Kluyveromyces lactis: one gene and its partner. The main gene of each other region encodes a partner of the protein of the gene in region 2 in a complex. Links are inferred from orthologs where the notes say so. Each region holds a gene or a part of one and is shown on either strand. Other genes may lie near its edges.

What was found. The genes of interacting proteins can lie anywhere in the genome.
Region 1: NGG1 (region 2) and ADA2 share a complex: the UniProt entries of both Saccharomyces cerevisiae proteins name them as parts of the ADA/GCN5 complex. The link is inferred for Kluyveromyces lactis from reciprocal best matches to the Saccharomyces cerevisiae genes NGG1 and ADA2.

The regions. Positions count from the first base shown.
Region 1 is NC_006038.1:117,086-120,421, forward strand, and holds ADA2 (chromatin-binding transcription regulator ADA2), read left to right. Parts: upstream 1-1,440; coding exon 1,441-2,748; downstream 2,749-3,336. Other genes in the region: RPS17B (40S ribosomal protein eS17), read right to left, coding at 1-27, 684-686; snoRNA-binding rRNA-processing protein UTP6, read right to left, coding at 2,842-3,336. UniProt on the Saccharomyces cerevisiae protein: Component of the transcription coactivator SAGA complex. SAGA acts as a general cofactor required for essentially all RNA polymerase II transcription. At the promoters, SAGA is required for transcription pre-initiation complex (PIC) recruitment.
Region 2 is NC_006040.1:1,523,337-1,527,344, reverse strand, and holds NGG1 (histone acetyltransferase NGG1), read right to left. Parts: upstream 2,596-4,008; coding exon 679-2,595; downstream 1-678. Other genes in the region: MAS1 (mitochondrial processing peptidase), read left to right, coding at 1-537; RSM24 (mitochondrial 37S ribosomal protein mS35), read left to right, coding at 2,944-3,855. UniProt on the Saccharomyces cerevisiae protein: Component of the transcription coactivator SAGA complex. SAGA acts as a general cofactor required for essentially all RNA polymerase II transcription. At the promoters, SAGA is required for transcription pre-initiation complex (PIC) recruitment.

The DNA.
Region 1 (3,336 bases), on a different chromosome or scaffold from region 2:
CTTGACGGTCTTGGTTCTAACTCTACCCTACTCAAATAATATCAACGAATCGATTTGATCTTGTTAGTAAAAGTGGCTTCATTTTATATTGCTTCTGCGAAAACTTCCATGGAAGATAGACCTGAGAAAGAATTTGATCCTGTGAAGTTCATCATTTTGGGGGAAATAATTGGACATATGCGTTCGTTTCGTCAACTTTATTACATGTGAGAGACCTTTAACGTTAGGGTGATGAACTCCATTAATACTGTGTTGGATATGATGTTGTGGTAGCTCATATACTAATCAATGCAGGCCGTTTGCTTTATTTTGTTCCATTTTACATCAGACGGAGTTTTGATCCTTACTGTGGGTCACAATACTGGAACATGGTCATACATCACTCCTGACATGCCATAATGTTCAACTGGTGATTGGTACTTCCCAAATTGTGCAACTTTTAATACCTTTCTCACTTTCTATAGTTTTGTCTTCTTCCTCATCATTCTATTATTCTACAGTGACCAGTGCCAACCCAAAGTCCAGGTTATCTATTCCTCCTATAATCTCTCTTAATGTAGATTTTGGTCATTAGTCTACGTCTCCCGATCAATCCAGCTCTGGAAAAACACTTCTTCTCATAATCTCTTATCTTTATGGTTCTTTTCGCTTCAATTTGTCAGTTATCATCATGCTTAACGTACCATTTTGTATCGATTTAGTCCTTACGGTTGTTCCTTGTTTCAAATGCTAGAATAGTGTTAAACACGTACTGTCAACAATTGGTCTTGTAAATGTTACCGTAATCTTTAAAAGTTCATTATTACTAGACAGTATGAAATTTCATGGTGCAAACGTTGAAACAAACAGACTAACCAGGATTCACTCACAACCGGGGAACGGAAACGAAGCACAATGCAAAGGGAATACTAAGCTGGACAGAGCTAGGCAGAAGGTGTCACTGGAGGACACAATGTTACCGAAGGAACAGCTGGTAAGAGAGTGCGTGGTAGCATCCAAAGTGGGCAGAGATGGGACTCGGGAACGAAAGTGCGTCTCGTGTGGATGACAGCAAGCTAGACAGACATTCTGTCTTCCAGTACCAGTCCACACACCTTTCCCCTCCGTCCCAATTCTCTTACGAAGTGCCAAGTAGTATTTCCTCTTTTGGTTTTATCAAATTTTATGAAATTAGCGTTCTCGAATTTCAGGATTTTCAGATTTTTCATCCTTAATAAGAATGTAAGGATGTAACAGTCCCGCATTCTGTTCTCCTGTTTACATGGAAAGTTCAATTATGATGTTCTAAAGAATCAACAAGTGATTTCAAGAGAGTTTAAAGAATAAGTCAAACTCATTGATATAAAAAGATAACTAACTTCGAGGACCCGCAAACTGTTATAGTGATTTAGCTTTACATCTGTTTGACTTTGAACTGCTTCTCCTTGTTCAACCGTCACCATGTCTAACAAGTTCCATTGTGATATTTGTTCTGCAGATTGTACAAACAGAGTCAGAATAACATGTGCGGTGTGTCCAGAGTATGATTTATGTGTGCCATGCTTCGCAAAAGGGTTATACAACGGTAAGCACCGGCCAAGCCATGACTATAAAGTGATTGAAACCAACTCATACCCGATTCTCTGTGAGGATTGGGGCGCTGATGAAGAGTTACTGTTGATAAAAGGAGCCCAGACACTGGGATTAGGTAACTGGCAAGATATTGCGGATCATATCGGATCTAGAGATAAGGAAGAAGTTTATGATCATTATTTGAAGTTTTACTTGAACAGTGAACACTATCCTATTCCAGATATCACAAAAGACATTAATGAACCGCAAGAACAATTTTTGGAGAAAAGAAAGAAACGCATGGAAAGATTTAGGGAAAGGCCTTTGGAACCTCCTAGGAAACCGATGGCATCACAACCGTCATGCCATGAAGTGCAAGGGTTTATGCCAGGTAGATTGGAATTCGAAACGGAGTTCGAGAATGAGGCCGAAGGTCCGGTCAAAGATATGGTCTTCGACGCCGATGATCAACCGTTAGATATTGAAGTGAAGTTGGCTATTCTTGACATCTACAACTCGAGATTGACGACTAGAGCAGAAAAGAAGCGTTTGTTGTTTGACAATTGTCTGATGGAATACAGGAGACTACAAAGTCTCGATAAGAAGCGTTCAAAAGAAACCAAAGATTTGTACAACAAAATTAAGGCTTTCGCAAGAATCATGTCCCCGCTGGATTTTGAAGAATTCAGCAAAGACATATTGGAAGAACTTCGGTGTCGAACAAGAATTCATCAATTGCAAGAATGGAGGAGCAACGGTATCACTACTTTGGAAGCTGGTCTTAAATATGAACGTGATAAACAAGCAAGAATTATGACATTGGAAAGATTTGGAAGTCAAGTGTACTCTTCTTCTTCATCTAGTAACACTGCCCGTTATAGAGCTACTTCGGCCCATAGATCGCAAGCTGATTATGCTCAAAATTATAACGAAGGAAGTGGACGTAAGAAACTAATGACTATCAGTGACATTCAGCATGGGGCAGATTTCCAATTATTATCAGCTGAGGAACAGCAGTTATGCATAACGTTGAAAATTTTGCCAAAGCCTTACATTGCCATCAAAGAGGTACTATTCAGAGAATTAATACGGACTGCAGGTCAACTCTCGAAGAAACAGTGTCGTGATTTATTGAATATCGAGGCAACGAAGGCCAACAGAATCTATGATTTCTTCGTTTCTCAGAATTGGGTTTAATTAGAGTTATAAAACTGTGGAAATATTGGCTCCACTGCTTACCTTACTACTTAATGTCAAATATGTACATAAAAATGTGTATACAGTGTCTCATTACAGTTTCTTGATAATAGCATTCAAAATAGCATACTTCGAATCAGATTTATCCATATTGGATAATAGATGTTGGGTCAAATAACCAGAATATAATGTAGTAAGTTGTTTGGCATTCGTCTCATCTAATTTGCTGATGTATGCAGAATACTTTTTGAAGGACAATTGGAGACTGTCGATGTTTAATTCGCCGGCAGGCATGAATTTGATATTTAATGTAACATCATGCAATAATAATTCCACATATTTTTCTGGCATACTTTTCTCAAGGGAAATATTATAATGTTCGTCCTTTAGCCATTGCAATACGTGATTTATCAGATATTCTCTTTTTAAATCTTGAAATTCCGAAAATAAGTTGATATACTCGAGGCATCTATCAAACAGGTAGGACATAACGTTTCTGCTGAGCTCTTCATCGACTTGCGAATTGGTAACGGCGTAGTATCCTTGATGTTTCTTGACAAAAGATGTGCCCAGATTCTTCATTGCGAT
Region 2 (4,008 bases):
GCTCTTTGCACCCAGGCAATCATTGGTAACTGGGACAGGGCCTTGGGCACAGGTACTAATTCTCCTTCACCTCTTGCTGTTGCTGCATCTGAAAATGGTACTTTAACTAATTCCTACATGTCATTCTCAACATCGTACGCCGACTCCGGTTTGTGGGGTATGTACATTGTGGCTGATTCTCAACAACACGATATAAAGTTAATCATTGACGAAATTTTAAAAGAGTGGAAAAGAATTCGGTCCGGACGTATCTCGGACGATGAGGTAAACAGAGCGAAAGCAAGATTAAAAGCCTCTCTACTTCTTTCTCTAGATGGATCGACTGCAATAGCTGAAGATATTGGAAGACAAGTAGTAACGACTGGTAAAAGGTTATCACCAGAGGAGGTTTTCGAACAAGTTAATAAAATCACAAAGCAGGACATTATAATGTGGGCAAATTATAGGCTGCTCAATAAACCTGTCTCTATGGTTGCTCTAGGTAATGTCAAAACGGTTCCATCTTTATCATACATTCAGACTAATATGAATAACTAAGTAACAAGTAAATATCATAAATCATAATTGCATCAAATATAGACAGGTACATTTATTCCACGTATTCTATATAATAAAGGGTCTAATTCCACTAGCTAGCACCAAAAACCAGCTTGACGCCAGTCTGTCAGTTATTTCAATTTATTCTTCTTTATTTTGTAGAGTTTCATTTAATTCTTCTTCCTTCCCGTTGGCATTATTGCTGAACACATCTGCTTCTTCTTCTTCCTCATCTTGGTCTATATCCTTGAATACGCTATCTCTTGGAATACGCTTCATGACTTCCGGTTTGTCAAACAAAGGACCAATCTTGCTTATCCATCTTTGTCTCTTATCCAACAAAGATTTTAGACTCGAGTTAGCGGCTTGTTGGTGAGCTGCCTGAATAGCTGCCTGAGATGTTGATCCGGTTGCTAATGAATCCGGCCCAGGTGTATATTGCCTCTTTTTCTTATTTTTCGGCGCACGAATACGTTTGATATATGCTTGGTCAACTTGCTTATCAAGATTGTCCAATATGGTACAGTACTCTTGCCATGCGAGCATCCTCTCCAATAACGGTAGAAGCATTGCCTTTCTTTTGGTATTCTTAGTAGTCACTTGACGTAGTGTACTCTGCAGCTCTCTTAGTTCAGCACTAATCTCATCATCTTCCCTTCCGGTCAACCAATCCGGGTCTTCACGTGTTTTTCCTTCTTCTCTCGGTAGATTCATATATATACCAACATACTTTAATTCCCTTTTCAAGCGTTCCTCAAAAGAAACATAATCAATATTGGAATTGTTTGCAATCGCTCCATGTTGTTTGAATATCCCGTATGACGAGGAGGATGATGGGGTAACATGTTCAAGCTCACTTACTGGTGTTGATACTGATGAATCGAGTGTGGGGTTTGTCGGTAATTCTTCCTTAGGAGCTATAATATCATCATCCTTCAGTATAGCACTCAAAAGCCTTGAGACTAGCGGGCCACAAGACACTTCTTCATTGTCAAGTACACCATCCGAAATGTCATTCCCTGATTTCTTAGGCAAGATACTAATAGGATCACTGATAGGTGGAGGAGTCAGATTCGCAATGTTTTGATTATTGTCTTCTTTCAACCACACGTCTGTGTATAGTGGTCCTAATTTAGGAATTGTGTATGGAGTCACTTCGGGGTCATAAGATTTCACAAACTGCAAATTTTGTGGCATGATGAATTTGTTTTGAAGGAATTTGATATCGTCATCATTGAATTCTCTGTAAAAGGCCTCGATGGATGAGAGAAAAGTATTAAACTGAATTTGGTTTGTGGGTTTAGGTTTCGAGAAATCCATATCAGGCAGCTCACCGGGTAGAAGTTCCTTTAAGTCATTTGTAGGATAGCTTACTACCCCGTATTTCTTTTTCAAATATTCCTCACCAGTAGCTTCAAGACCCTCCTCTTGAAACAAACCTAATCTCATTGCAGCAGCAGGTAACGTTTGAGATACTACAAATTCAGACTTGGGGTTTCTAATGTTAGGATCATTTTCCATTTTATCAATATCTAGCTTTGCTTTCTTTGATATGTGACCATCTGATGATAAAACTTCCGCTTCTTCAATAGTATCTTGTGGCCTTTTGTCTGTCTCCTCGTTCTCTTCTGTAATTGATCTTTTATCCGATACGACTTCGCTAGATTCATCAAGTTTTTTATTAATTGAATCATTTTCTGCGTTCTGGGCTGCAAGGTTTGTTGCAGCTTCTGCTTCCTCCTTCTCTTTTTGTTTCTCATCTTCGAGCCTTATTATATCTTCCCGCATTTCCTTGATTAGGTCTAAATTCTCTTGATCACTAGCTGCAATTTTCTCCAAACATTTTCCTAGATTTTCTAGTTGATCTTTAGTTGTTTGCAAAACCGGTTTCTCAGGAACCGACCTCACGTATTTACCGTTCAGTAAACCTATGTCATTCTCAAAAGTCAAGTCTAAAGACTTCAGCATCGAATTTAGAATATTCGACGGTTCATGTAGCCCAGCGTCATCTCTTTTCTGCTCTCTTATTCCTTTGCCTCTTCGCGTATTCCTTGACATAATATACCAGTGGTGTTTTACTGAGTGAAGATCTGGTTTAGCAATCTACTTGATTCCACCTTTGTCCACTGTTGACTATCGTTAAAAGATAGGCTGCTTTCCAGCTTTGGCAATATTAATGACTTTGTTCTGTTTGTTGCTTCGTTGTTTATCTTCCGTTACTTTGACAGATATTTTCATAGAAAATTTATTATCACGTGACCTCCGCCTTTTCTCTGCAAAAAATTTTCCAAGTTTACCAGAAATACCAATAATCCTCGATACAACACCAATCGGAACCAGAGAAAGCCAATTATATTCAAAGTGTTAAAAGGTCTGCGATAACGTAATCATCTTAGGCACTCAACAATGATTACTGGTGCTAGCGTGCAACGTACTGCATTCTTTTGTAGTAGACGTTTAAACTCCACCGTTACGAAAGAAGTTGCGACCATTTCCTCAACACTTTACAAGGATCCATCGAAATGGATCGGTTTGGATAGTAAAGATATCATAACGTTGCACAATGAAAGAAAGGCAAGACTAGGGCCCCTATATAAGCCTTGCGAAGAAGAGTTGAAAGCATTGTTACCCACTGCCGAAGCGTCTGGAATTCCAGCAAAACTTTTCAAAGAGTACTATCATAAGACACCTGAAGAAGTTGAGGCAGAAATGGGCATTGCAAGAGGTCTAGACGAGCATGTCAACTTGGATCAATATCAGTTTGATGATTTGCCATCACAATCACAAATTTTAGTTCATCAACATCGTGAACAACGTTTCTACAATCGTTTGGCAGCATTTGAACTTCCTTTACTTGCGCAGTATCGTCAAGAATATAAACGCCCTTCAACAAAGACTCATCCAGTAGCTTATCGTTATACAACATATCTTGGTGAAGAACATCCAAATTCTCGTAAGGTTGTCTTATCTGTGAAGACATCGGATCTCGGCTTGGAACAGAGGGAACTGCATAAGCTGCGTCTATTGGCAAAAACACGTTATGATTCTACTACAGATACTTTGAGAATGTCTTCTGATCGCTATGAAGAACCAGCTCAAAATGCAAAGTACTTAAACAGCATTCTTCTAGAATTACTCAAGGAGGCTAAAGATTTGAAAGACGACTTTGCTGATGTTCCTCTCGATAAAAGACATATCATCGCAAGACAATTGCGTAAGAAAAAGCGTGGGTACGAGTTCCCAGAAGAGTGGAAACGTCCACAAGATGCTCCAAGGAAAACAGTGGATCTTGTTGAGCTATTACACAAACAGCTTTGATCAACCTTTTAAAACACACAAAAACAACTGTAAATAGCCATATACGCACAAATTAATGACCAATTTAATTGTATAGCAACAGCCATCTATTCGTTAAAGGGTGAAAAGACAAACCTTACATATCTAAGATGATAGCTACTTCAACTGTAGATT